Linked DNA regions of Notamacropus eugenii. The protein of the gene in region 2 interacts with the protein of the main gene of each other region in a biochemical or structural test. Links are inferred from orthologs where the notes say so. Each region holds a gene or a part of one and is shown on either strand. Other genes may lie near its edges.

Region 1 (9,998 bases), about 660 Mb from region 2:
ATCAAGCAGTGAGAGAGAAATATTGGGAGGAGAAAGGGAGAAATTGAATGGGGCAAATTATCTCTCATAAAAGAGGCAAGCAAAAGACTTATTAGTGGAGGGATAAAGAGGGGAGGCAAGAGAAAAACATGAGGTCTACTCTCATCACATTCCACTAAAGGAAAGAATAAAATGCACACTCATTTTGATAGGAAAACCTATCTCACAATACAGGAGAGTGGGGGACAAGGGCACAAGCAGGGTGGGGGGGAGGATAGAGGGGCGGGCATGGGGAGGAGAATGCAATCCAAGGTCGACACTCATGGGGAGGGAAAGGATCATAAGAGAATAGAAGTAATGGGGGACAGGATAGGATGGAGGGAAATATAGTTAGTCCTATACAACACAACTAGTATGGAAATCATTTGCAAAACTACACAGATTTGGCCTATATTGAATTGCTTGTCTTCCAAAGGGAAGGGGTGGAGAGGGAGGGAGCTAAAGAAGTTGGAACTCAAAGTGTTAGGATCAACTGTAATGTTCTTACCACTAGGAAATAAGAAATACAGGTTAAGGGGTAAAGAAAGCTATCTGGCCCTACAGGACAAAAGAGAAGACGAAGACAAGGGCAGAGAGGGAGGATAGAAGAGAGAGCAGATTGGTCACAGGGGCAATTAGAATGCTTGGGTTTGGGGGGGGGAGGGGATAAAAAGGAAGAAAATTTGTAACCCAAAATTTTGTGAAAATAAATGTTAAAAGTTAAAAAAAAAAAAGTGCTATTGCATCCTTTCTTATCTAGTGTTCTGTTGAAGGGGGAAGTGTTTCTATTTGTATATTCCTGTGATAATTTGTGTTCATCACGATGACCCTGGAACTCCTACTGAATCTTTGATGGAAGATATGATTATAATCAGCCTTGTCAGTGCTCCCATCCAACAATTAGTCATCCCGTACCCCCTTTCCATGGATTACCAGGCCAAGTATTTAATTATCCAAGACATTCCATTTTCTAATTATGGTGGACGATTACATTTGCTACTTAAACAGTACTGTCATCATGTAAATAAACTGAAAAAAATTAAACTCCAAAAGGATTCTTCCCCTTTACCCCTTGGGAGTTGCAGATCAGGGAGAGCCAGTGGCTGCAAAGGTAGAAGCAAAGGACCAAGAGATCCAAAGTGCCTTGATTAGTGGCCATGCAAATGTGCCAAGTAAAATTAGGCTCTGGTCACACGTCCTCTGGGGATAGGTTCTGGATTAATTTTTTTTTCCCAAGTGAAAACAACACTTTAGCCGTCAATAATTCAGACTGTGATTCCAGAGACCCAGTTCCCTCTGTATCTTCAATTAATGATACAATTAAGCTGTTTCTGTGGCTGTAAAAAGTGGCTGGTGGTTCTACTATTATGGTTGGTTTAGAATTTCCTTTCAGAGAGGGAGGAGGAAGCAGCAGTGGCTGTGTTGATCCAGCAGCAGCAGCACCAACCTGGGCCTGTCTGAGTGCTGCCCTCCCCTGACCCTCCATGAGCCAGACCTCCATGGCACTGCCACCCCCCCCCCCACCCCTCCCCCCGTCACATCTATGGAAGTAATGGACAAGCTCCTGAACCTGTGTGGATCTTCTTTCCACAGTCTTGGGAGATTGTTTCATGGCTAATAATGTTCCAGTGATGAGTCTACCACAGCTTCACTGATCTAGTTTTTGGAAGACATAGATTCCACCAGACCTGGCACATAGCTCATTGGCAGAGCAGGAAGGCAGACAGTCATTAGCTGCAGGGAAATTCGAAGAGGCCAATTTGTGTTACCAAAAGGTGGCCGCATATCTTTCTGAAGCCATGAAGCTTACATGGTCTGAGCAGGCTCAGTTATCACTGGAATTACAAAGGGATAGCCACATGAAACAACTCTTGCTTATTTAGGAGAGGTGGAAAGGGGCAGAATGGGAGGAAAGGTGGAAAGCCCAGCAGAGTCCTGATGAAACCCCTCATCTTCCGATGTCAAACAGGCCTCTGGCTGAGGATAGGTCTGAGGGCCCAAGTGTGCCCCTGTCTCAGCAGTTTAACCCTGCTGCAGTGCCAGGGTTCTCGACAGGGACCCAGACACTCTTCTTTTTCTCCTTCAGAAGAGGAAAGATCTGACAGAACTGTGTCCCGGCAGCAAAGTCCCCAAAGATAACAAAACAATAGAAGAGGAGGTAACTAAGATTGCTGATCTGAAGCGAGGTACGGAGTTTCTTGTGGCCAACAATGAAAGACTGAGGAGAGAAAACAAGCAGCTCCAAGCTAAAAAGGCCAGGCTCCAGAAGGCTCTACCTGAAAAGGAATTGGATGTAGATGCTGACTTTGTAGAGAAATCAGAATTATGGAGCCTGCCTCCCCCTGCACAGACTGCCACAGCCTCTTCTCCCTGAAGGGAGTTTGCAGCCAGCACAGGAAAAGTCAAGGACATTCCCATCCCCAACCTTCCTCCCTTGGACTTCCCATCCCTAGAGCTCCCTGAAGATATTCTAAAAGGACTCATGAACAGTTAAATGAAAGGTCACAAGGGGCTAAAATGGTGATGGTGAGGAAGAGGAAATCTACAGTGAAAACAGCAAAAAAGGAAAAACCATGAGGCTAGGGACAGCCCGGGCCAGGTGGAGGGTCACTGGACAGACCAGTGTAGGAGAAAAGGCCTGGCCATGCCCTCGAGAACAGTTACTATGAAGTACACAGCACAGCCTGAAGAGTACGGAGTTGAGGAAACTGGGGGTGGCAAATGCCAACCTCCCAAGGGTCTCTCCTGATTCAAACCAAATGGTGACCTAGAATCACTTTCTTCAAGCAGCAATTATTTTCCCTCTTAATTTCAGGGTTATGCTATATATAGTAACTAATATATAATGCCATAAAGGATAATGCAAAATCGAAATAATACAGGAGCCCAAGGGTGACCTTGTATTGGAAAGATGCTTTCTGTCATGCATTGACTGCATGCATTTTGTTATGCACAATTTATCAATTCTGATGAGGTGTGTTGGTTACATGCCTTCCTAGATGATCCCATGTGTGCCACACTTTGCACTCCTCCTAATGCGATGATAACCTCAAGACTATCAGGAGAAATGTTTAAATTTCCACTTTAGGAACAAAAGAACCAAATTATTAGTTCTGCTTTTTTTAAATTATCAGTTTACATAATTAATCAGGGTGCATCATAAGTTTTAACTTTCCGTTTGCTGTATTAAAATGTTATGCATCATTTAAAAAATACCCAAGGAATTATCCCTTTGCTTTGAATGGTGCATGAATGGAAGTAATACTAGTTGGCAGTATTTGATTGCAAGAAATCAATAAAATGTATTTTATTAGAATTTCCTTTTATTTAGTTCCTTCTCATCCCTCATCACCTCAGATATCCACATTGTCCCTGTGGGGTCTTCCAAACTTACAAACTACAAAATAAAACACAAAAGGAAGCATTAACTTCAAAGAGAAAGGGTAATGGGTGTAACATCTCCCTCTTCTCACTGGTGTGACTCATGCTACACCACAATCAGCTGAGAATTAATCTTTCCTGTCTTGCGTGGGCATGGGTGGCAAAGGCCCTTTTCACAGGGCAAATGTCTCTACTACTGTTTATTTAAAGAAGGGAATCACCAACCTGGTGGAGGGTATTCAGTTAGGAAGTTGGTCTGGATTAGGGGATCTTAACCTTTCTTATGTCCTAGACCCCTTTGGTGACACTACTGAACCCTGTGGACCCCTTCTCAGAGTCATGTTTTCAGATGCATACAATACATCCCAAAACCAATTATGCTGAAATACAATTATCAAAAAGTTTGTTTAAATCACAAACCCCCTGAATTCTATACATGGACTTAACTCTATGACAGCAAAGGTGTAACTCTTGAGATTCTCATATTTTAGGGTTGGCCACATAGGCATCTTTGTCTACCACCAGTTTTTCCCCTGCTTTGTAAAGGACAGAACATTTTGGAAGTAAGGAAAGGGTGACCAGGAGGCTCATGTTTCATGGCAGAGGCAGGCCAGTGCCACAGAGCTGTTGGCCAACACTCCAGAGAGGGGGCTGCCATCTTGAAAAGGCTGCCCTATGTCTGGAGAGCCTTCCTTCCTTACTTCTGCCTCCTGGTCCCCCGAAGGCCCCTTCAAAGTTCATCTCAAGTGTCATCGACTTCAAGAGAAATCTTTCCTAATTCCCAATTACTGTTAGTTTTTTGTAGTCCGTATTTTTGTCTGTTGTCTCCCCTTGTTGGATGTAAACCCCTAAAAGGCAGGGACCACCTCAGTTTAGTATCTGTATCCCTATCTTCCAGCACAGTGCCTGGTACACAGTAGGTACTTTATAAATGACTGGCAATTGTTTTTCTTAGAAGGATATTGGGGGTGGGAAGGGCTATTTTAATAAGGGTATAAAATGTGTGGTAGCCTAGAAAGGAACTACCATAGTTCATCTGTCCCTTCAGGAAATTGGTCAACTTCCCACACCCCAGGCCTAGAAGAGCCCCTAATCTCTTATGTTGGTTTCTTTAGCTGAGGAACAGCCCATTTTTAACTTAGGTCAGTGTTCCTGTTATAATGCATTATCTCATTTGTTCCTCAAAACAACAAAACAACAATGACCTTTGAGGACCTTAGTTTCCTTATCTAGAAAATGAAGAGATTGGGCTAGATAAACTCCAAAATCTGTGGGATGTAGAAGTCCTAAGAACTGTTGCTGTGTCTACCTTGGTAGTGCAAGCATTATGACCCCCTTTCTCCCAGGTCATAGAGTCAGTAAGTGACAGAGCCAAAACTGGGTCCAGTGTCTCCTGACTTTCCTTCCTCTGCATCAGGGATCCCATGATGTGGAAAGGAGAATGGCACTGGAGATGGGAGTCCCGACTTTGAATCCAGGCTCTGTGACGGTGGCAAAGTCACCTGTTGTCTGAACTTCAAGGCTTTGTTGCGTCAGGGAAGGGCTGTGTTGATCTGAGAGTGACCCTGGAGAATGGAGAGGGATGGGGCTGCACAGAAGCGGGAGTGCTTATGTGTTTCTCCTTGTTTGGAGATGGCAGTTTGGGCTAACAGAGAGAGTGGGCCTTCAAATAGGCTAAACCTGGGTTCCGGTCTCACCTCTGACACTGGGCAACTAGTTAACTCTCTAAGACTCTAAATGGCAGAAAGGTGCCCACCTGCAGTGGTAGAGGGAGTATGCCCCTCTGGGAGTTCCCAGTAGCCATGAACTGATCCCAAAGCAAGAGATTCGCTCGGTGCCCTCCCAGGGCAGAGGCTGTCACGACAGGAGTGGCTAATGTGAAGGTCGGGGTTCAGGAGTGGGTATCACTCCGGGGATGGGGGAACCTGGAGAGCAGAGCGGCGCAGAGCCAAGGTGCGGGGTCTGCGTGGGGCCAGGACGTCAGTTAAACAAGGGTCCGCTCGATCGGATGCGAGGTTGGGGGCGCGGGCAAAAAGAGTGGGAGGGCAGGAGGAGGAGGAGGAGGAGGGCAGGAAGCGGTGCCCGCCCCGGGGCGGAGCACAGGGAGAGGCGGAGTTGGGTCCGGCCGCTGGGCGGGTCAGTGTCGGGCTCCCGCTGCAGCCGCTGCCGTCTCTCCTCCTCCTCCTGTAGCTGCGGGCTCTCTCCGGGGGGCCGCCGCCCGCCGCTATGGGCCAGATCGAGTGGGCCATGTGGGCGAACGAGCAGGCTCTGGCATCTGGCCTCAGTGAGTGGGGACGGGGGCACCAGGTGGGGGCGGGGGCGGCGTGGCCCGTCTGCCCCCTGAGGCACTGCCAGCCCTGTCCCCGCCCCCACCGGCGGCCCTGGGCTGGAAACTTTTTCTGTTGTAATTTAACTTTGAGAAGCCCTGAGTGACTGTCCCGGCCGGAGGAGTGGGGGGCCGGGATGGGGGGAGGCCGGGGATGGGGGGGAAGGAGGGATGGGAAGGAGAGAGGGGCTGCAGAGAAGTGTCTAAAACTTTGTGTGGGAGGGAGAAGAGAGATGAAAGAGGGGAGGAAGAGGGGCGAGACCGAGAGGCAGAGAAAGGAGAGGGAGAGGGAGGGGACGGAGAGAGAGAAGGAGGGAAAGAGGGAGAGAGGGAGACAGAGAGAGAGACAGAGAGAGAGACAGAGAGAGACGGAGAAAGGAGAGAGAGAGAAAGAGAGAGAGAGAGAGAGAGAGAGAGAGAGAGAGAGAGAGAGAGAGAGAGAGAGAGAGAGAGAGAGAGAGAGAGAGAGGTTGGTTTGATGGTTAGAATAGTTTGCAGCGCGGAGATGTGCCCAGGGTAAAGGGGTTGGGCGGGGTGGGGGTGGGGGGGAGGACGCGGACACCACCAGGCTGTGAGGGGAGGGGAGGGAGAAGGAGGGAGGGAAGGGAGTTCTGGTCCGAGGTTAAGCCACTAGGGGAAACACAGAAAACAGGGACTCTGGGAGTACTCATCCGCCAAGAAACACGGGAGCCCCCCTCTCTGCCCCCTCTCCCTCTAGTTGTCTTTAACTTTGAACTTGAGGAAGACAAGTCAGAAGGAAACTGCCTCTTCTCGATTGAGGAAGTAAAAATAAAAAGGAGAAGTAGGTGTTTCTCCCTCAAATGGTCTTTCCTCTTCCTTGTGGGTTCTGGTTGGGTCACCACCCTACTGCTAAGCCTGGGAAAGCCCCTGTCAGCTGCTGTAGCCTCCTGTCCTCTGTGAGGGAGAAGTCCTCTGTCTTCAGCTTTGCCTCCTGAGGGTCCCCCTGTGATCTGAGAGGCAGAGGCCCCCTTTATAATCAGGACTGGGGGATACCCTGGTAGTTGAGGGGCATGGAAGCATATCCTACAGCCTTCCAAAGGCCCAACCACAGTCTCTGGCTTAGAGTTCCCCAAACTCTTCCCCCAAAACAAACACCTCCAAATCCTATGAGCCACCACCTCGATATAGATGCACACATTCACACAGAGCAAAGAAAGAAGCTATTTGTGACCTGATCTAAAATTCTAAGATTTAGTGCTAGAAGGAACTTCAAAGAGCAAGTCCCATTTTACAGCTGAGAAAACTGAGGCTTTGAGGATTAAAGATTTTGAGGCTCAAAATGACAGGGCTAATTAAAGTCAGAGGTTGGATCTGAATCCAGGTCCTCTAAATCCACACACAGCCCATGACTGAGAATAGCCAGGGTGAGATCAGCCTCCTCCTTCTCCCCTCTGTACTGCCAGCAGGCTGTGTGGTCCATAAGATGGCAGAGTCATAGAATCTCAAAGCTAGAAGGAACCTTAGACGTCATGAAATCATTGGCTTTTCGAGACCAGCTAAGGAAGAAGCAGCTCAGAATTTCCGCTTTCTTTTCCCACCTTCCAGGAATGCCCTGGAAACACTGTCCTGTGTTCTCTGCCCCTCTCTCACTTTCCCCTCTTCTTCAGAGATCTGATCTCGCTGACTTCAGTCTGTCTGAGTCTGAATGTCAGTGCTAACTCACACTCTCCCAGAGGCCTTTGGAGAGGGAGCCTTCTCCTGTCCTTTCCAGAGAGGAAGGGGCTTTCTCCATCGCTGTGAGAAGTATCAGGGGAAGGGGATAGGGGAATGTGGGAGGGAAGATCCCTTACCTTAAAGCTTGCCTATTCAACCTACTTAGAGTTGAGAAGCCTTGGGACAAATGGGTTAAAGCATCACCCCCAAAAGCTAAGCTTCTGATTGCACCCCCCTTCCCCCCAGCTTCACCCTGCCTTGAAGCCCCAGTGATTCTCGCCCTGCAGGAAAGATTGAGGTGCCCAGTCTGGCTTGCTTAGCTCCTCAGGGCATAAACTGAGCTTCAGTCTGAGCTAGTAGGTGGGTAGGTGAGTCCTTCTTGGGAAATGTGGGTCCATCCCTGAGATCTCAGCCAACTTCAGTTCTAAAACCTGTGATCAAGGAAAGCCTATGAGCTGCTGCGTCTGTTCCGGTAATGCAAGTCTCATTTACCCCGTTTTACAGACAGTGTATGACGTAAAGCCCAGGCCATAAAGTCAGTTAGTAAGAGGCAGAACCCAAATTGAATCCCAGGGCTTCTGGCTTGTAAATTTGGTTGTACTTTGTACCATTGTAGGATCTTAAACCAGAACAACTCTTAGTCAGCTTGGTCATTAGGATCTTTTTCCCCGTTTTTTTGTGTTTTTTTTTTAATTGTGAAGGATAATCATTTCTTAGCTTCCTAAGGCATTGTGCCTGGCAAGTAAACTGGGGAAGAAAGAAAAATTCTTTGAAGATTCTGAAATGTAGAAGTCAAGAAAACAAGGAGTTCCCCCCTCAAACAAATGGTAGCAGTTGAATGAAGATCAGGTTTTTTCATGATCTGAAATCTGTTTGGACTGACTGCTTAAATTTCTTTTCCTTTTAAAAAAATGAAATTGTATTGAATCCTTCGTTTTTATGTTGCCTAGAGTTACTCCTTTATTTATTCCTCCCTCTTCAGTCCCAGAGAGCAACCCCATGTAGGAATTTTTTAAAGGGGAAAAAAAGAGCAAAACTGATAAATGCAGCAAAAAAAATGTGAACCTATGTGTCGATTTCCACATTCATTGTCCATCCCACCTTTGCAAAGGAACAGGGAAAGGCATCTTCTCCTAGCTTTTCCTGGGGGCTAAATGCATAGATTTTTAATGTATACCTCTGGTGAGCCATAACCTTTTTTTTAAAAAAGCCTTCTGTTGACACTTGTTTCATCACTTCTCAATAATCATTCCAACCTTAGAACAAAGAAAAGAGTTAAGCCTAACAAACCAACTCATTGAAAGTTCCTGACAGTATAGGGACTATTCTCTACCCCTAGTCCACCACTTTTCTATGGAGAAGAAGAAAGTATTGAACTACCATGTAAGCTGGGCAGCAGTAGGCACTTGCATGGTTGTTTAGCCATAAGACAAGAGGAGTCCAGGGAACAATCTAATCCACTTGGTTCTTACAGGAGTAGTGTTCTGGATTCAGTGCTAGCCTGGTCTTGATCAAGGCAATGAGGATAATAATATTTAACATCATCTTCTTGAGAATGGTGGGGCATCCTCATTTCAGCTCTGACTATGGGCTGCTCCCACTAATTTTTATTTCCTTTTAGTTTTTATTCCCTCCCTTGAGCACAGTCATTGGTACATAGTTAACAAACATTTATTGACACACTGTGTAGTCAGCTAAGGATTCCTGCCTTGGATTTTAGCCCTTTCATGAAGAGGACCCAGATAATGCCCAGATTTTGGCTGTGTTGCCAGAAGTGTCAGCTGGTTAAGAGTACTGGTCTGAGACTGGGAAAATTTGAGTTTGGGTCCTACTGCTGTGCGAGCCTGAGCAAATCCTCTCCCCTCTCTGAGCCTAAATTGCCTTAGCTCTGGAATGAGGACTCTTGCCTGGCTGACTTCATGGAGTGGGTGGGGGAAAAGTGCTTTGTAAACCATTATCAAAGTGTACGTTACTTTAGCTTTTTGTCTAGACTTGTGATTTCTTAAGTGTCATTTTGGAATATCCCTTTACTGATGCAGAGCAGCCATCCATCTGTAACATGATTTTGCAAAGTTCTGGGGGAGCCCCCCCCCACATGATTAAGAGGTTAAGCACATGTTCCCACAGCAAATAGGTACGTGTCAGACACAGGACTTAACTGACTGGCTCTCTGTCCAAGATATAGTCCACTAATTACTATTATTACTTTTATAATAATAATTATATAATGTAGCAATATAAAGTTAATGATATAATACTATATCATACTGATAATAATTAATATCATTAATTATGATACACTAATTAAATTAGGTCAGATATTGTTACCCAAAAACTCTCAGGTGTCTTGTGCTGCTGGAACTGCTTCTACCCACAGGCCACAAGTTGGCTGTGGGACCAAGAAAGGGTTTTGCTAGTCATTTCTTAGCCTGAGAATGGTCTTGAGCCCCTAGAAGACTTTTCAGATGCAGCTGGTGAGAGGAGCTCATTTCCTCCCAGTCCTGGGAACACCACATAGTTTTTGTAGGCTTGGGAGGTTGTGGGCTCCTGCAGAGGCTGAATGACAAGGACCTGGTAGAGGGGATTTTTTTCTGGTACT
Region 2 (10,357 bases):
ACATGTATACTCTGTACTTAGATACATACAGAAACACACATCCTAAACAGTCGTTTCTGGGGATCACATGTGTACGCAACTATATCCATCTTTCCCTTCCTGCTTCCCTAGGATTCTTTGGTGAAGCAGGAATAGGGACTAATGGTCCCTATTTGTAAAAGACCTGTAAAAGTCTTGACCTATGAAGTTCCCTTCTGTAATAGAGTGACCTTCAGAGTCTTTTAAGGTTGGAGTTTCTTCAGTAGTTGGGACAGATCTGCTCTCCTATCCTTCATTGCCATGGATTTTGGGTCCTGACTACACATAGTGAAAGCATGCCCATGTCCTTTACCCCAGTTAATATCATTGTCAATCAGAGAAAAGAAGACTGGAAGTGGAGAAGGAGGGGCAAAGGAAGTGGGCAGTCTGGGAATGGCTTTCAGGTTTTTTCAAATAGCTGAAAGTTTGTCATGTGGAACAGAGATTTAACTTCTTCCTTTTGGTCCCAGAAAACAAAACTTAGACCACTTAGGAGCTACAAGGAAGCAGATTTCAGAAAACAAAAACAAAAGCAAAAGCCTTTTTAACCTTAGAGATGTCCAGAAGTGGAGTGGGAAAGTGTGTGCGTGCGTGTGTGTGTGTGTGTGTGTGTGTGTGTGTGTGTGGAGGGCAGCTAGGTGGAGCAGTGAATACAGCAGGGACCCTGGAGTCAGGAGGACCCGAGCTCAAATTCAGACTCAGATACCTCACACTTACTAGCTGTGTGACTTTGAGCAAGTCACCCAACCCCAACTGCCCTGCCTCCCTCCCTCCAAAGCAGAAACAAAAGTGGGGTGAGGGGTGAGCTCCCTGGCAGAGGGAATCCTCCTGCAAACACTGGATGTTCCCCTTTCTGGTCCAAAATCCAGGTAACCTCCGTAGAACATGCAAGCTGTCTTTATAAAAGACCCAGACCTAGGAGTCAGAGACTCACATGACAAAGGCAAGTCACATCCCTTCTCTGGGTTTCAGTTTTGTACTCTATAAAATGGGGATAGTAACAAGTTACCCCACCTAGATCATAGGTTGATTTTTTTTTTTTGTAAGGGGAGATTGCAAGGTGTGATAGGACTATACAAAGGTGTGTTATTATTAAGTCAATAAGTATTTTATAAGTGCTTATAATGTGCCAAATAGTGCTAAATGCTGAAGGCACGATGCTAATGATCATTATTGTTGTAATAATAAAGACCATATTTTCTTCTTAACTTCTTTAATGGAGTACGGAAAGATAGAAAGGGTCTGAGAGAAGTCACTATCCTGCAATTATTCTTTTATTTTTAATGTTCTCCAGACTATAAAGGCAGGTAAAACAACTGCTTTTCATAAATGAATAAAACTATCAGAATATAGACTTATCTTTTTCTCTGCTTACATAAAATATCTTCTGTACAATCCCCATTGCAGACAGGATGATGGGGATGATATAGTCCATGTTGTTCATTTGTTTCAGTCATGTCTGACTCTTTGTGACCCCATGTGGGGCTTTCTTGGCAAAGATACTGGAGTGACTTGATATTTCATTTTACACATGAAGAAACTGAGGCAAACAGGGTTAAGTGACTTGTCCAGGATCACACAGCGAGTAAGTGTCTGAGGCTGACTTTGAATTCAGGTTTCTTGACTCCAGCACTCTACCCACTCACTGCTCCAGAAATGACATATATCTTGAGGATTGGATTTCTCCTTTCAGATGTCTATATTTTGAAAGTTTTTCTTTCCATGAAGTTTGGAGATTTTTTTTTTTTGACTATTGAGTTTGGTGATATCTATTACAAATGCTGTTCTTAAATTTTTATGGATCAAGATTATATCTGGGCAATTGTGGGCAATGGTTCTGTCTTTTATAACTCTCCAGGTCCAGTAGGATTAATTTGTTGAATTCTCAATATATCTTAGGATCTCCTTTGGTAGTTTATGGGTTTGTTTTCTGTTAGTTTATGAAGGATAGTGATTTTATGGTGTATAATACTGGCTACCTGATTGTGTATTTTTAGGCATTTGATAGGTGTTAAATGTTTGTGACTGCAAAAATACCCTAATAATAAATCCAGGCTATATAATAAAATAACCTCTCAGTAATTCCTGGTAACAATAACCTCGCTTCTTACCTCTGTCATAAAGCCCTCAGTTTCTGATGTCAAATCTGAATGACTCAGTCATTTGTTTACTGTGTCTTTATCTACTTGGCAGTTGAGTTCACATGGACTATTATTCATGGAAGGCCTTTTGGTTACAGTCTTGGAACCTAAGCCATTAGATTGTCCATTGTAAAGAAATAAAACCAGTGTTACTTTCATTCAAGAAATCCAGTGACGTTTACTCATCATCAGCCTTTACTGCTGCTCTGAGAAGTGGTATTTGTTCCAGAAGTATCTGTAATTATCTGTAACTGATGATCCTGATTGTGATATAATCTGGGAACTTCCATCAATCCTCTTCCTCCCTTTTGACAAGGAAGTGTTAATATTTCTAGAGATACTCTAAAATAGAGAGACCATTTGGCTGGGTTCACTGGGGCTAGGGCAGACTCACTCCTCCTTATCCTATGCCCAGCCATGCCATCAATTCCCCAGTCAGGGGAATTCTAGCCTCTGGTGAGAGGGGGCTCTCCCCTCTCACACTCATTGGCTTATTAAGTTTCCCAATGCCAGCCATTCAGAGATAATTTTTAATTATAGCAAATTAGATAACAACTCGCAAGTCTAGGGGTCCCCCAACGGGGCAGAAGTAAAAGAGGTTCTTAATGCACAGTATGAATCGGGGTATGGGACAGGTAGTTTATTCCTACACAGAAAGAAATGCTAAGCATGGAAAAATCACAGTGAGATTAGTAGGATTCAGTAAACCTACTGATATTTAAACCTTATCAAGATATATAACAGTTTGCAGGACTGCTAATTAGCCATTCTCCATTTCATTCTAGCTTGGCCTTCTGTCCCTGATAACTATCATCCTATATCTCTTCTGCCCTTTGTAACTAAATTCTTCAAACAGGCCGTCTAGGCTAAGTGTTTCTACTTTCTCTCCTCTCCCCTTCTTAACCCCTTACAGTCTGGCTTCTGACCTTATTCCACTGAAACTACTCTCTCCAAAGTTAGCAGTGGTATCTCAGCTGCCAGATCCAATGGCCCTTTCTCTGTCCTCCATTCTCCTCCACCTCTCTGCAGAGTTTGACTCTGTGGATCATTGTCTCCTCCTTGATACGCTCTTCTCTCTAGGTTTTCAGGACACCACTCTTTCCTGGCCATCCTTCTACCCATACAACTCCTCCTTCACTGTCTTCTTTTCTGGATCCTCTTCCAGGTCACACCCTCTCCCCATAAGTGTCCCTCAGAACCCTGTCCTGGGCCCTCTTCTCTTCTCCCTCTATATTATTTTACTTGGTGATCTCATCAGCTCCCGTGAATTCAATTACTATGCTGATGATTCCCAGATCTACCTGAGGTGCCCCAAACTCTCTATTTCCTCTAATCTTGCATCTCCAACTGCCTTTGGGATATCTCAGATTATTTGTCCAGTAGATACCTTCAATGTCCAAAATAGAAGTCATTATCTTTCCCCCTCTCCAATTCCTACCACCTTTATTACCACATAGGGCAATAGATCCTTCCAGTCTCTCTGGCTTGTAAACTTGGAGTCATCCTAGATTCCTCACTATCTCTCACTTCCCATATCCAATCGATTGCCAAGGCCTATCAATTTCATCTTTGCAACATTTTCCCAATATAATCCCTTCTCTCCTCTGGCACTGGCACCATTCTAGTACAGATCCTCACCACCTCAGATTGGGAATATTACAATAGTCCGTTGGTGGGACTGCCTATCTCAAGTCTCCCCTCACTCCAATCTATCCTCCAATTAGCTCTCACTGTGATTTTTCCTAGAGTGCAGGTTCAACCATGTTCCCCTACCTTCACCCCTACCCCTCACTCAATCAACTCCAGTGGCTCCCTATTGCCTCCAGGAGCAAATACAAAACCCTCTGTTTGGCATTCAGAGCTCTTCATAACCTAGGCACCCCTTACCTTTTCAGTCACCTTATGCCTTACTTCCAATACGTGGTGTTTGATGCAGTGACAATGGCTTCCTGACCGTTCTACAAAAACAGACACTCAATCACACATCTCTGGTCATTTTTTCTGGCAGTTCCCCATGCCTGGAACTCTGTCCCTCCTCTACTTGGACTACTGACCTCCCTGGCTTCCTGTAAGTCCCAACTGAAATCCCACATTCTACACGAAATCTTTCCCAATCCCTCTTAATTCTAGTGTGGTTTCTTTGTTTATTATTTATTCTGTAAGTAGCTCGCTTTGTGTATATTGGTTTGCATCTTGTTTCCCCTTTTAAATGATGTAACAGTAAGCACCTCAACATGCACAGGGGGGCCTCCTACCACAGGTTCTTAGATCTACATTCATAAAAGAAAAGCAACTTTCAAGGGGTTAACAATCACTTTAATTAAGCACAGGTATCAGAGAAAATCAGGTTCAAAATTTCAGAGAAAAGAAAATTCAACAGACAGCCCTTCCAAACTGCCTGACCACTAACATACATACATCTTTACTAGAGAGGGAAGCATCAACATCTGGATTTTCAAGAAGTCGATCACTAAGCCGCCAAAGTTAAATCTCACCCTCAGAGTATTTATACACTTTTTAGAACCAGAGGGCATAACTCTGACCCAGTGCCTCCATAGAAAAAACAAAAAATACTTGGGACGCTCCTACAAAACAAACTCCCTAATTAAGCTTTGAACTATGGGCATCAATGGGTGGGAAAGTTTCTCTCCAATCACATTAATGCAGTCAGAGGCCCTTTTAGTAAAACAAAAACAGCAAAAGATCCTCATTTGATTGCCAGTGTCTTTTGATCTGATTTGCTTGTCATTTGTCTCCTTTTATATCCTCAGTGAGTCCACGCATAGTAGGACCTTAATAAACGTTTATTGATTGATTAATTGGGCACTGTCCAATCAAATGACCAAGCTTGAGTCAGTCTGCTTTATACTAGCCTCTGTCTCCAACGCAGAAGTTTTTCTTGTCACTGTGCTGTCCCTATCACTATTCCAACTAATAGACATCTGGATTCTTAAAACTCACAAGGTCCCCTATACAAAAAAAGAAGAAACAGAAAATCAGGTAACCCAACCTGAGCTCGTTTGCTTACTGTGGGGGTGAGTATGAGATAGGAACAATTGCCCTATTGTGTCTCTGGACACAGTTCAAAACAGAGAATATAATTCATAGAGAGAAATGAAGAGAGGTACTGGGGGGGGGGGGGGTGTAGGTCATCCCTTTTGCCTATCTCCTGAGCTTGCAGCAATTCTGGCTATGCAGCCACTTAAGGGACTACTCATCGTATCACAGTGTGAACCCCTGAGTGATGAATGGCCAGAAGCAGGCCTCACAGGGTCAGCCAGGAGCAGGATGAGGAGAGGGGCATATGCTCTATAAAACCCATGTCACGCTACCTTCCCACGATGGGCGATGTGTTTCATTAATATCGTCATGGCTTTTTGTTTGACTAATTCTATTGCATGGATTGTTTGTTCCAAAAAATGTAGGTTGAGATAATTACTCTATGTTCTTCCTACTGTGCTTTGACTTTGATATTCCAATATGCTTTCTACTCTACCACAGCTGTCCTGGGCCCAGGTGTCCGAAAACTGAGAGAGGGGATTTGTCTCTCCTGCCAAACCACACCTAGAACAGTCCCCTGCTTCTGAGGCTCTGATGACCTACAGGAGAGGTCAAGAGTTAGAAATCCTGGAGACTCCTGGGGAATTTTTGCCTCCAACCTTGGGGAGATCTTCCTGGTAATAGGGAGGAGACAATCAAATTAGAAGCTGCCTGGCAGGCTGCCAGGAGGTGGTTCTCCTGAATCTGGTTCCGCCCTCTCTCTCCATCCATTTAAGAAGGTGATGAGGGCATAGGGAATCACACAGAACAAGATGACTGGTACCCAGCAGCTGAAGTGGGTTCGAGGGGTGGGACTTGTGCTGGGCAGGCGTCCTCAGGTACTGCTCAACTAGTTTCCTGGTACCTATTCCTTTCAGAGCAGTTTTTGTTTCCCTTAGATCTGTTTATTCTCTAGTTCCTCTGTTTCTTCTCCTCTACCTCCACCCTCCTTTCATCTCCCCCAGCTGGGACTCCCTGTTTTCCTGCTTTTCTGTATCCTGGTCTCCCCTGTCCCTCCATCTCCGCATGTCTCCTTCTCTGACTCTCACTTTCCTGATTCATTCTCACATGTATTCTCCTCATTCCTCTACTCTCCCTTCCACTTTCTCCCCAAACCTGGCTCTTCTCCTGATCTTCCCATGTGCATCTCCACATTCTCCCATCCTTCACTCTCTGCCTTCCCTCTTTGTTGCTCCCATCTCTGTTTTACCCATTGAACTGACTCTCCTTTCTCATCATACTCATCACCTTGTCTCGACAGTCCCTTTGACTCCTCCGTGACCCTTATCTCTTTTTCTTCCCCCACCTAACCCCCCCCAAGTCTTTGTCTCTTCCTTTTCTGTCATGGTTTCTCTTTTCTAGACTTGGGCTAGGAACATGTTTGGGTATGTGACAGAAAATGAAGCTGTGTATACGTGTGTGCAATTGGGTGGGGGTCAGCCCTCTGTACCCAGCCCTGTTATAGGGCAGGAAGGATGTTTCTTGAGCTAGATAAAGGAGGATAGGGCTGTGGTAAGACCAGAATCCACTGAATCCCCTTCCCTCAACCTTCTGCCCCTTAGATGTTCATCCTCTCCGTGCTTTGGTCTGATGGCAGTGACAGCCTCATCTACAGGACCTTCCAGGAGTTCCGCCAATTCCATGTGAGACACCATCCTAGCCACAGCCCCATGGGATCCTCAAGAATCAACCCCTTTACCCTGCCTGATCCTGGGATGTATACTTAGGTTGCATTCTGGGGGCTACCTAATGACTGCCTTGAACCTAGGGGCTCCCTCCCAGCCCATCTGTTACCCCTTCATCACCTAACTCCCTTATTTAAAGCCCCCCCATGACCCTGATTCTATCTTCTCAGAAAAGACTGAAGAACTCCTTTCCCTTGGAGGCAGGTTTGCTGAAGAATTCAGACTGTGTCCTCCCCAAGTTTCAAGGTTAGGGGACTGGTGAAAAGAATGGGATAGGTGGGTGGGGGATCTCTGGGCTGAGTGGACCACTAGGCACTGGGCCAGCCTGAGAAAGGGTCCTGGGACCTCAGGGTGTGGGATCCCATAGGAAAGAAAAAGGGAGCTCTAGGGCTCAGGGCTGAGGGGAGTGGGGGGCCTGGGATTTCACAGGAATCTCTGCTTTTCCTATAGATGCCTCAGTACTCCCCAGTGGAAGGACACGAAGGGGACTGACCAGGTTACGGCTGCTAGAAGCCTATTCTCAGAAACTTCTGGAGGTCACAGAGATGGTATCTCAAAGTAAGGTGGTCACTGACTTTTTCCAGCCCCAGCCTGGGGACCTGGAGCCTGTCCTGCCCCACAACAGGTATTTGTGAGTCCCCATATGCTCAGTCTTCCTAATCAGATCAAGCTTTCACTGTCCACCCTGTGAAGGTTTAGGGGTGGGTGAGATCACAATGACTGAGAAAAGCAGACTCATATAAGGACACAGAAAATGGGACTGACTGGGGAAGCTGAGAGAAGGGAAGAAAAGCTCTGCATGGGCTGCATCAGGAAAGGTTTATTGGAAGCGATGGGATTTAAAAGGCCTCAGAATTATTTTCCATTCCTAAGAGGCCCAGTGTAGAATTCCCTCTACATTCCCCTGTAATTGTACAGCCTCTGCTTGACAAGGCTCCCAGTGACAGGACATTCACTGCCTCCTGTTCCATGTCTAAACAATCCTGTTAAGTTCTTCCTTACAATTGGTGGGAATTGACCTCCTAGTAACGACTCTCCCACTCTCGAGCATTGGTCCAACCAAATTCTGCCATATGAGACCAAGCAGAACAAGTCTAGCATGGGGCAGTGTGGTATGGTGGACAGAGAGCTAGCTTTGAAACCCAGAAGGCCTGGGTTCAAGTCATGCCCTGACACATACTGGGTAAGGCTCTCTGACACTATAAGCTGTTGACCTCTATTAGTAACAGGAATTCCCCTTTATGTCAATGAAATCGCAGATCCTTGACTTGTCCCCTATCCTCTTCCACTGAACAACTCTTCTAGTATTTGCAGGTGTTAATTACGCTGTCAGTCTGGGGAACAGCAGACCAGAAGGAAGTCAGAAATGACTGGGAGGTGGATTAGGGCTAGTTTCTCAGGAATGGGTAGGGCCAGGCTAAGAGAAAGGGGAGGTGTAATAGGAAGGCATTCCAGATAGGAGCCAAAGACTGAGCAAAGGTCCGGATGTGGAAATGAATCTGACATCCTCAAGGATGGCAAGGTATGAAAAAGAGGTGTTGCTAGATGGAAAGTTCAAATGTCAGTCTAAGAAGTGGGGAGGAACTTCCACCGGCAGAAAATCTTGTACAGGGTGTAGAAAAGTCCCAATTCCAGAGGGTTAAAGCTAACTCATCTCAACTGTCATCTATGTCTTACCTTGCTTATCTTGGGTCTTTTCTTAAAGCTTGGTGATCGTGCCCTCTCCTTGGGAGAGACCAGAAAGGAGTCCAAAGAAGCCCCCAGTCCTAGAACCAGACATCCACACCCTGGAGGCCCAGACTTTCCGGTGTCTTGATAGCTTCAGTACTCAGGACACCAGGGGCAGGTCCTTTAAAGCTAAAGCTGGAGAAGAGCTGGATGTGTTGCTTAAAGAACCCACAGGTGGGAGGGCTTGGGGGACTGTGGAAGGGGGAGGACATGGAAAAGATGTAAAGATGGGGGCCTCAGCCCTGGATCCTGGGGGAGGGAGACTTTCAGTTGATGGAGATCCTAGAGAGACAGGGGGTCTTAGCCTAAATATCCTATCCTTGTGTCCCTGTTTTTTGGGGGAAAGAGGACAGGAACCCCAAGGAAATGGAAGTATTAGCTTGAGGGGATAGGGACATTCAGGGGAAATACTTTTATTCCTGGGGGACCCCAGGGGCAGGAGAGTCTGAGCCTTTGGGAAGGAATGGGAACTCTTAGATGGGGATCCAGGGGGCAAGGATAGGTTCTTTAATCTGACAGCGGAGCAAGATCCTTCAAATGTTGGGAATTCATATTTGATAGGGAGAGTATGTCCATGTGTGCCCATGCATACATGTCAGTATCAATAAGTAGTTACCTCCCTATTTCCTTCCTAACCCATGTAAGTAAAACCTGTTCCCTCTTACTTGCTGAGTTTTAGGGGTCGGGTTGTCTACATCCCAGTATAATCTTCCTTCCCCACTCCCCAGGCTGGTGGTTGGTGGAAAATGAGGACAAACAGATAGCTTGGTTTCCTGCACCCTACCTGGAGGAGGCATCTCCAAGACAGGGATGCAAGGAGATGCCCCAGATACCCTGCAGTGGTAAGTGCCCCTGATCTTGGTCTGGACCCCTCCTTTCTGTGATCCAACCAAGGGAGGGGGAAGGAAAGTGGCCAGTCTCGCGCTGGGATCTGTGCCCAGCTATGTTCCCCATCTGTAAAACAGATGATCTTTAGAGCTCCTCCCAGCTCTGAACCCTATGACCCTGCATGGCTGGGTAGGATAAGACATCCTCCTGGTCAGGCTTACCTTAGTCTCCCGATATTCCTGGGGACCACCCCAGGAGGAAACAGCATCCTGGATCGCCCCTTTCCACCCCATCCAGGGCTGACGTTCTGCACCACCGAAGCTTACAAGAGCAGCCGGGAGGACGAGCTGTCCGTGCCCACGGGGGCCAGAGTCACCGTGCTACAGGAGTCCGAGTGCGGCTGGTGGCAGTGCCGGTGTGTAAGGGTGCAGGCTGGCTGCGCACGGCGGTGGGAAGGGGAGGAGGGGAGGAGGAGGTGCGGCTCTGCCCTCCCCAAGCTCCGGGCGTGTGTGTGACGGCTCCCCCCACCTCAGGTACCGCGACCGCCTGGGGCTGCTACCAGCCGTGCTCCTGTGCCCGGACCCCATGAACACCAGCGGACTGGGCGTGCTCCTGAACGCGGCCCCGGCCAACCTGGCCCCAGGACCCTCCGGCGGAGCTGAAGCCGAGCCCGACGAAGGCCGCCTGCCCCCGCACCCCCAGCCCGCCCCTCCCACCAGCCCCAACTCAAGCTCAGACTCGGGCTCGGGCAGCGACGAGGGGGAGGACTGCAGTGCCATGGCGGGCACCGGCCCCACACCTGTCGTACCCCCCCGGCCCAGGCGAGGGGACATCCTGCGGAGGTGCTGCACGCTGACCCGCAAGGCCCTTTTCAGTCCAGAGGCACGGAAGCCTCCTGGGCCAGCGCCTCCTGCACCT
Region 3 (9,970 bases), about 450 Mb from region 2:
TCAGTGAAATAAAGGACTTTCAAGAATTTCTGATCAAAATACTAGAGCTGAATAGAAAATTTTTCTTTCAAACACAAGACTTAAGAGGAGCATAAAATGAGAAATTATAAGAGATTCAATAAGCTGTTTACATTCCTACATGGGAAAACCATACTTGTAACTCCTAAAACTTTCTCATTATTAGGGCAGTTAAAAGGAGTAAACACAGACAGAGAACACAGGTATGGGCTGACTATGAAGGGACGCTTATCTAAAAAAAACAAAATTAAGGAATGAGAAACAGGGATGCATTGGGAGAAGGGGAAAAGGAGAGGTGGAATGGAATAAATTATTTCACATAAAAGAGCTTTTACAGTGGTGGGGGAGATGGGGGAAGTGAAAGTGGGGAAGAGAGATGATCCTTACTCTCACTGGAATTGGTTCAAAGAGGGAATAGCACACACATTCAATTGGGTATAGAACTCTGTCTTATCCTACAGGAAATAGGAAGGAAAGGAGATAAGAGAAAGGGGTCTTGCTGATAGAAGGGAGGGCAGACTAGAGTAGGTAAAAATAAGAAGCAAAACACTTTTGAGGGTGGACAGGGTAAAAGGAGAAAGAGTAGGATAAATAGGGAGAAAATAGGATATAGGGAAATACATAAGTGTAAAAGAGTTTTATAGCAAGTTTCTCTGATAAAGACCTAATTTCTCAGCTATGTAGAGAACTGAGTGAAATCTACAGAAATAAGAGCGATTCCTCAGCTGATAAATGGTTAAAGCATATGAACAATAAGTGTTCAGATAAGTACTCAAAGCTGTCTATAGTCACATAAAAAATGCTCTACATTACTATTGATTAGAGAAATGCAAATTAAAACAACTCTGAGCTACCACCTCATACCTATCAGATTGTCTAATATGAGAGAAATATTGGAGGGGATGTGAGAAAATGGAGACATGAATACATTGCTGGTGAAGTGATATACTGATTCAAACATTCTGTAGACAATTTGGAACTATACCCAAAGGGCTATAAAAATGTGTATGCCCTTTGATCAAGCAATACCACTATTAGGTCTGCATCCCAAACAGATTAAAAAATGAAAAGGAAAAGGACCCATACATACAAAAATATTTATGGCAGCTCTTTTAGTGATGGCAAAGAATTGGAAACTGAGGGGATGCTCAGCAATTGGGGAAAGGTTGAACAAATTTTTGTATGTGATTCTATTGTTCTATGAAAAATGATGAGCAGGATGCTTTCAGAAAACTTGGAAAGACTTACATGAACTGATGCAAAGTGAAATGAACAGAAGAACCAGGAGAACACTGTATACTGTAACTGTAATATTATATAATGGTCAACTGTGAATGATTTAGCTATCCTCAGCAATACAGATGATCCAAGACTGTTCTGAAGGACATGATAAAAAATGTTTTCCAACTCCAGAGAAAGAACTGATAGAGTCTAAATGCAGATTAAAGCATACTTCACTTTTTCTTCTTTTTTTAATCTCTGTTTTCTTTTACAGCATGACTAACAAGGAAATATGTTTTTCGTGACTGTACATCTGCTTCATCAACCACTTCACTTCCCTTAATTGTGGGTTTTTCCCCGTGGTTCAGTCCTAGGTCCTCTACTCTTGTCTTTTAATACATTCTCTGAATGACTTTATCAGCTCCTATGAGTTTAATTATCTTCTCTATGCAGATGAATGTGGCAGCTAGGTGGTACAGTGGATAAAAGCACTGGGCTTGGAATCGGGAAAACTCATCTTCCTGAATTCAATCTGACCTCAGACACTTACTAGAAGCGTCACCCTGGGCAAGTCACTTAATTCTGTTTGGCCCCCGTATCCAGTCCTAGTTTCTCCCCTGGGCTTTGCTCCTGCACAATTCACTTGCCTATTGGAGATTTCAAACTGGATCTCTCAGACACATCTCAAACTCAGCATGTTAAAAACAGAACTTGTCTTTCTGTCCAAACCCATCCCTCTTTGGAACTCTGAGATCTTTGTTGAAGGCACTGTCATTCTTCTAGTGTCCTAGATTCATAACCTTGGTGTAATCATGGATGCCTCATCCTCCTTTACCCCAAATATCCTATCAGCTGCCAAATCTTGTCATTTTTACCTCAACAACATTTCTCTCACACAATTCCCACTTTAGTTCAAGTCCTCATCACTGTTCACCCAAGTTATGGCAATGGCCTTTTAACTGCATTTCCTATCTCTAGTCTCTCTCTGCTTTAGTATATCCTCCATACACAGCTGCCAAAGTGATCGCTCTCATGTATAGTTCTGACTTTTACACTCCTCCCACTCAGTCAACTCCACTGGCTCTCTACTGTCTTAAGAATAAAGTATAAACTCTTCTGTTTAGCTTATAAATCCCTTTATTACCTAGCTTCAACCTATTTCTCCAGTCTCACTGAACTTAGCTTCTCCTTCTCCACTCTGTGATTTCAACAAACTGGTCTTCTCTCAGTTTCTCAAACAGGACACTTAATTTCCCCTTTCCATAATTTTTACACTGACTGTGCCCCAACCTGGATTGTACTTTCTCCTCATATCCGCCTCATAGAATTTTTTTCTTCCTTGAAGGTGGAGCTCAAATATCACCTTCTGTGGGAAGCCCTTCCAGCTTATCTTAATTGTTAGTGTCCCCTCTCTCAAGTTTCCTTGTATTTGTCTACTTTGGATTTATTTGCATTTATTCAGTATATATCTATACATGTCATTATTCTCTCCCTTTAGAATGTAAGCTCTTTCTAGCAGGCATTTTGAAATTTATTTTATGTGTATTCCTTGTTCCTAGCATATAGTAGGAACCTAATAGAACTGATATATTGATCTACTTAGTTATTTACAAGTGGACTCTCCCATTAAAATCTAAGTTTCTTGAGGGCAGGGATTTTTTAAAGCATTCCTTTGTATCCCCAAACTTAGCATAGTGTCTGATGTGTAGTAAACCCTTAATGAGTTCTTTTTGATTGATTTTGATTGTTTGATTAATAAATGATTATTGAATTATAATTTAAATGGGTAAAGGATTATTATCCACATCATTCAGATAAAACAACTGAGGTTCAAAGAAGCTGAATTGCCTGAGGTCACAATTAAGTGATGGAATAGGAACTAGAATTCCATAGTCACAATTACTCTTGTAATCTTTTACCACAGAAGAACATGACTCAGTCCTGGGGGTAGTGTGCCTAGGAGATGAGATGTATTAAAAAACCAATATGACTAAAACATCTTCTGCCCACAGCATGGAAAAGGGGCCAGAATGCATCTAAAGTTTTTATGGTTGGGTTATATTCTAAGTATTATGTTTGTTCTCCTCTCAGCCTGTCTTGTCATCCTCACCTGCATACCCATTCCAACTTTCAAGTTATTCCTATCACCCATGGGAACTCAAGAAGATGGCCAAAATATTTTGTGTGGATTTGCCTAGTCTCTTTATAGCACCAGTAGGAAACATTGGAGAACCATTCCCTGGTCCATCTGATTCAACTCTATTCAACAAACATTCACTAAGTATCTGTTGTTCTAGGCATGGTGCTTCATGTTTGTCTTTCAGAATGGCTTCATCCATATGCCCACTGATGGATCGGACACTGTCTCATAAGGAAGCAAAAACTTCAGGTGCTACTAGATTCAACCTCAATAAATATTTGGTTTAATTGCATTTTATATTTTTTTGAGAACTTTATTTTCTTTTTAAAAAATTTAATATTTTATTTCCCCCCAATAATACATAAAAACAATTTTAACATCCTTTTTTCAAATTTCCAAATTCTCTCTCTCCCTACCCCTCTCTTCCCCATTGAGAAAGCTAGCAATATGACATGTTATACATCTGTAGTCATACAAAACACGTTTCCAAGTAAGTCATTGTATTTTAGTTTAGATCTGACTCTCTTTACCCCATATTGTGCCCTTATGGATGGGGAAGCTGGGAGCAGTCAATTCTGGATTGGGAAATACAGTGTGTGCCTGGTGGGGTGTGTTTTGAGTGAATGGCCTCCTCTCATTCAGATTCTCTCTTTTCTCCTTTCACATCTCCATGACCCCATCTTTTCTAGAAGTTATAGGATACTCAGGAGGTTGGGGTGCTAATTCGTCCTGATCTCAGGCTTTGGATGTCTGAGCTATAAGGTTTGGGATATAATCCTAGGCCTCACTAGCATCCCTCCCATTCCTTTGCCCACTCACCTGCAGGGCTGCCTCTGGATTTCCAGTTAGCAGGTGCACACAGCCCATGTTGAAGCAGATCTTGGAAGAAGGCTCTTCAATTCTGGAGAATAGTTCCAAGGCCAAATCCCAGTCCTTCCTATCCACAGCCTGGACAGCTTCATGCCAGCCCTTCACCAAATCACTGTATGACATTAAGGATGACCCTACAGTGGAGCTGGCCTAGCTACCCTGGGGGAAATAAAGAGCTCTTTGAGAAGGTATTGACTGAGCACCTTACAGCTGTGAGGTTGTGAGAGGATTGTGCCTGACACTCCTTAGAAGGCAGCCTTACCAGGGTGAGAATCTGGGCTGAGCAGGAAGTAAAGCCCCTTTCTGTTTACCTAGTAAGAGGTGGAGGTATGTGTGTGTGTGTATTCATGTGTGTGTGTGTGTGTGTGTGTGTGTGTGTGTGTGGAAAGGGGAGTGAAAGGGGGCTGGCTGAAAGGATCTTTCAGGTGCTGAGGTCTGGGGAACACCTGTCTTTTAGAGCTAGAGAAAAGATCCTGTTTCCAGTGGCTGTTGTGGGGGTGGGCTATGAATAATGATAAAATGTCTGGCTTTTAGACAGCTCTTCATATTCTGTATAGACTCTCACCTGTAGTTTCTACCTGTGGCAGAGCTGAGTGATGAAACACCTGCTATCAAGCTGCTCTGTGTGATGCGTGTTTTGTGGGAGGGGGAGGAGGGTCTTGGCCCCATCTCTAAAGGACAGAGGAGGACAAGAAGCTTCTGGTTCATTTTTTTTTTTTTAGGAAGACTTGACAGCCACTGCCCCTGTCCTCCTTCACATTTAAGTCCCTGTCATGAGCTGAGAGTATTTTAAGGAAGCAGTTTAGATTTGAAAACAATAATCAGATTGAAGTTTACTAACTAAAATGGAAAAGGATTTCATTTGGTTACTTTATGGTCATGGGATGGGGAGGAATTATGCATGGGGATGAGGCAGATGGGGTGAGGGGAGAGAAGGTTCATGTGTGGAAAAATATCTGTGAGGGGAGTGGGCTATGTGTGTATATGGGTGGGACAGGACAGAAGGGCAGTTATAAAAAAAGACAGAATAGAAATGCATTTGGTGAGGACTTCAAGAGGATGAAGGTCTCTGAAGGGCCTGAAGAGAATATAATATGGGGGAAATTCTCTGAGATATGGGGTGTAGCAGGGAGAGCTATTTTAAGAGGAATCTGGTATATGAAGATTAATCAAGGCACCTGTATGGATTCAGGAGTCTTGATTCTAGATCTAATAGGCTTCAGAGGACTGGGTCCTATCAGATTGTATTTTATTAGGGGCACCCATGCTCTTTATTTCGGGCTCCATTCACTCTGAATTCTCCACCTTCTCCTCAGTAGCAATCTCACACTGGAGATAGCTCTGCTCTGAGGACAGCTTTGCTGATTGCTGTGTCCCTAGCCACAACCACCATTTCATTAGGGGCCCCAGCCATGTTCACTTCACTCTCAGCAAATCTGGATTTCTCTGTCCTTACTAGTCATCTCACCAGTCACCTTTGCCCCAGCCTGGGTTTTTCTCCTCCCACTTCAACTTCCTTTTACACAGTCTTTCTCCACTAGAATATAAGCCTTTGAGGCTGGGTCCCGTTTATATCCTCCAATTTCAGCCGAGTGCTTAGAACAAAGTCCTTCATGTTCTACCTGGTTAGCTAGGTGGTAGAGTGGATATAGCACTGGGCCTGGGCTTCAAATGCAGCCTGAGTGACCCTGAGCAAGTTGCTTAGCTTGTCTGTTTCCCTAACTGTGAAGTGGGAATAACACAGCACCCACCTCTCAGGGTTGTTGTGAAGGCTAAATAAGATATCTGTAAGTGTCTAGCCCTGTTCCTGGCCCACAATAGGTGCTATATACAATGCTATTTCTTCTTTCCTCTCCCGCCCCCACCATCTCTTTCTGAGGTGAACAAGGGCATGTTAGGGAGACACGTAAACGTGCATGTGTGTGTGTGTGTGTGTGTGTGTGTGTGTGTGTGTGTGTATCTGATGTCCCTGGGGTGGTGGAGACCAATTAGGGATGTAGAGCGAGAAGTCTAACATGGAAGAAAATGTTTGTATATGAGGGGGTAGCACTCTAGTCCTTTTTTGGGTTGGGATATTTGGAGGAGACTCGGTGGCTGGAATAGTAATAATGACAGTATATATATGTATGTATATGTATATACGTGTGTAGACACCCACACACACATACATCCTACACAGTCTCTTTGGATCCTTACAACCCTGTGAGGCAGATACTACCGGTATCATCACCCATATTTTCTAAAAGAGGAAACTGGGGTTGAGAGAGGTCATGTAGACCCATGGTCACAGAGCTAGTCAGCATGAGAGGTGGGTTTCTAGCCTGGGATTCCCCAGGAATCTGGGGTGGGAGAGCTCTGAGGGGGAAGGTCTCAGGAGGGGGCCTGGGTATCTGAAATATGAGGATTGTGGGGGAGGGCACAGAGGGGGTCTTTGAGGGGGTTGAGGCCTGGAGGAGGGAGTGGAAGGGAAACAGGGTCTGGGGGGGAATAATAAGGCCATGGTGGGGGTTGTCTGAGGGAAACAGTATAGAACGTTGAGAGACTGAGGAGACAGACTATGGGAAGACTGAATGGAGTGGGGGGACTGCAGGGAACAGAATATGGGGGATTTAGAGTGACAGTGTGGGGAGATGCTGGGGGGACAGGGTGTAGAGGGACTGAGGGGGCTGGGGGCTGGATACAGGAAGACTGGATGGAACACAACGATGTGGGGGGACCTGCAGGGAACAGAGTGTAGGGGATTGGGGGGATTTAGGAGGGCAGAGGACGGAGTCTCTGGGGGCTGAGAGGGCAGGATGCAGGAGGACTAATGGATCAGGATGTGGAAGGACTCTTGGGGGGACAAGATAAGGGGGGATTTAGAGGGATGGAGCACGAGGAGCCGCGATATGAGGGGGCTCCGAGACACGAGTGGGGGGGGCTAAGGGGAACAACATGGGGGGCCTAAGAGGACAGGATGTGGGGGCCCCTGAGGGCGCTGCACCAGGCGGCGGCCAGGTCGGCACTTCCCGGAGGGCCCCACCCCGCCGCTGGGGACACAGGGCCTCCCGGTCCGGAGCGGTCCACGCCCACAGGCTAGGCCCGAGTTCTGGGGAGCCGCTGGGGTGCCGTTGGGGCCTTCCTGCCCTCAGCAGCGCTCGGCCCGGCTTCGGTGCCCCCGGAAAAGCGGTCCGGCGCCATTCCGGTGCACGGCTCCGCCGCCGCCCCGCCGCCGACGTTCCGCTGCCGGGAGGGGAGAGGGCGCCGCCCCGCGGGCTCCGAACGCCGGCTCCACGTGAGTGGCCGCGGGCACACGGGGACACGGGGACGTGGGGACACGGGGCCCGGAGGGCCCTGGCCCGGAGATCGCGGCTCTGGGGCCCGCCAGGGCGCCTGTGTGAAAGAGTTGGGGAGCCTCCGGGCGGTGTGGGTGGGGGCGTCGGAGGGAGGGGTCTAGGGGACCGTGTGATTGTGGGGGGCCACGGGGCTGCTAGGCTGGGGGGATGGGGGGGTCTGTTCAGGGGTCCCCGAGCCCCTCCCCCGCCTTCGGCCCCGGGTCCCAATTCCTAGAGCCCGGTGAGCTCCCGAGGGAGCGTCCAGATTCCGGGCGTGGTCCGGGGCGGTCACCGCCCAGACGCATCCTCGGCTCGACCCCGTGCAGCCCCGGGGCCGCCTCCTCCGAGAAGCCTTCCCCTCCCTCCCGTCCCTCCGCGCCTCCTCCCCCAGCCCCCGCTCCCCAAGTCTTGATTTCCCTTCTGCTTTAATTTCTCAGAACACTTTGTTCGACCCCTCCACACAACCAAATTTTGGCTTGTATTTTTATGTATTTGGGTGTCCTCCTTCCTGCTGGGTTGAAAGCTCCCTGGGAGCAGGGGCTGTGCCATTGCTGTGCCATCCCCGTTCTTTCCAGCCCAGAACAAAGCCTTGCCCCCGTCGGTGCCTGGGTATGAGATTGTTGGAAAGAACGTGCGGGTAACCCCCCGTGGAGAGCGGGACGAGGATCCAGGTCTCAGCGGGGCTGCCATGTCCAGCGTGGCCGTAAGGTGTCAGTGCAGTCTTGGGAGGACAGTGGTGTGGACCCTGGTGGCACCCACCGGACTCAGAGACCAGGAAGAGCCCCTGGGTCTGTATTGGCGCCGTCCCTGAGGGTCTTCCTCTCCCAGACTGATGGGTGAAAGAGGCCATTCTTTGCCCCATCCCTTACCTGCCCTAACCACTGGACGGGTGTTGCCTCAGACAGCCGAGGCCAAGGTCTCCCCTGCAGCCAGCCCGTCTCCAGCTGTCCTGACCTGCCCCGGCCCCGGGCCCCACATGGCTCCTGTGGCGCAGCCCTCCCTGCTTCAGCCTGATTCCCTCTGCCGCAAGGACGGACAAACGTCCGTACCGGGAGCAGCGTCTGTCCCTGAGGGCACAGCCTGTGTAATTCAATTAAATGTCCAAATGTACTGTGGCATTTTTTGACATTTTATTTAACATTTTCTAACAGTGATAGGCAGGATGCAGAAAGAACCTGTGGAGCCTGTATTATTTTAGAATTTCTAGTTATTTTATGTAGTTACAGATTCAGCGTTAGACAGGACCCCAGAGGCCATCCAGTCCAACTCCCCTCCCCCCCTTTTTTTCAGATCAGTAAATTGAGGTTTAGGGACTTGCAGAGTAGTAAGTGATAACCAATATTTGAACCAGATTTTTTGACTCTTTCCATTATATTTGGGCTGGCCAGAAATTTGTGTTAGTCCCACACGTAAAGAAAAGTACTTATTGGCAAATGAATGGTTCTCTTCAGAGTGGCTGAATGGTTTAGTGGAAAGGTGCCTCAATTGGGAGCCAGCAGATTCAGGCTTTAGGCTTGTCTTTTCCTCTGCCTTGCTCTATGACTTTTGGCAAAGTCACTTATGAGGTTGGATTAGATGGTCTCTGTGATCCCATTTAGCTTTACGCGCTCTGATTCTAAAGACCACAGAAAGAATATTTAACATTTAAAAGAGCTATTTGTGTGTGTATACTGGAAAGAACACTGGACGTGGGGGGCAGAAGAATGAGGTTCTTAGTGCAGTCCTTAACTGGCAGGCTTGATCATAAATCATTTCACCTTAGCGCATCTCAGTAAAAAGATTGTACTAGACAATTTCTGAGAGTTCTTCCAATTCTAGCCAAATAATTTTAATCACTACTAAATATAGTGCATGTAAAACAGTTTAAGGAGACGTTTCTTAGTACTAATTTTTCCTGTTGATTAAAAAAAAACTTATTTGATATTTTATTTTTCCCAATTACATGTGAAAACAATTTTAACATTTCCCCCCAAATTTTGAGTTCCAAATTCTCTCCCTCCCTCCCCTCCCCACCCCATTGAGAAGGCAAACAATTTGACATAGGTTATACATATTCATAGTCATGCAAAACACACTTCCTTGTAAGTCATTCTGTGAAAGAAAACACAGACAAAAAACCTTCAAGAAAAATAAAGAAAGAGTATCTTTGATTACATTTAGGCTCTACTAGTTCTTTCTCTGGTGCTGGACAGTACCTTGCATCATAAGTTCTACAGAATTGTTTTGGATCATTGTATTGCTGAGAATAGCTAAGTTATTCATAGTAGATCATCATACAATATTGCTGTACTGTGTACAATGTTCTCCTAGCTCTGCTCATTTGCATCGGTTCATGTAAGTCTCTCCATGTTTTTTCCATGTCTTTTCTATGTTTTTCTGAGAGCATCCTGCTCATCATTTCTTAAAG

Evidence for each region.
Region 1: the proteins of NOXO1 (region 2) and CYBA form a complex in vitro, tested with the Homo sapiens proteins (3 studies listed by IntAct). The link is inferred for Notamacropus eugenii from reciprocal best matches to the Homo sapiens genes NOXO1 and CYBA.
Region 3: the proteins of NOXO1 (region 2) and NOXA1 form a complex in vitro, tested with the Homo sapiens proteins (2 studies listed by IntAct). The link is inferred for Notamacropus eugenii from reciprocal best matches to the Homo sapiens genes NOXO1 and NOXA1.

The regions. Positions count from the first base shown.
Region 1 is NC_092872.1:705,424,924-705,434,921, reverse strand, and holds the start of CYBA (cytochrome b-245 light chain), read left to right. Parts: upstream 1-5,467; 5' UTR 5,468-5,625; coding exon 5,626-5,683; intron 5,684-9,998. UniProt on the Homo sapiens protein: Subunit of NADPH oxidase complexes that is required for the NADPH oxidase activity that generates, in various cell types, superoxide from molecular oxygen utilizing NADPH as an electron donor.
Region 2 is NC_092872.1:48,352,389-48,362,745, forward strand, and holds the start of NOXO1 (NADPH oxidase organizer 1), read left to right. Parts: upstream 1-5,971; coding exon 5,972-6,037; intron 6,038-6,760; coding exon 6,761-6,841; intron 6,842-7,053; coding exon 7,054-7,129; intron 7,130-7,333; coding exon 7,334-7,508; intron 7,509-8,588; coding exon 8,589-8,785; intron 8,786-9,339; coding exon 9,340-9,453; intron 9,454-9,736; coding exon 9,737-9,854; intron 9,855-9,972; coding exon 9,973-10,357. UniProt on the Homo sapiens protein: Constitutively potentiates the superoxide-generating activity of NOX1 and NOX3 and is required for the biogenesis of otoconia/otolith, which are crystalline structures of the inner ear involved in the perception of gravity.
Region 3 is NC_092872.1:493,494,255-493,504,224, forward strand, and holds the start of NOXA1 (NADPH oxidase activator 1), read right to left. Parts: upstream 4,532-9,970; 5' UTR 4,373-4,531; coding exon 4,199-4,372; intron 1-4,198.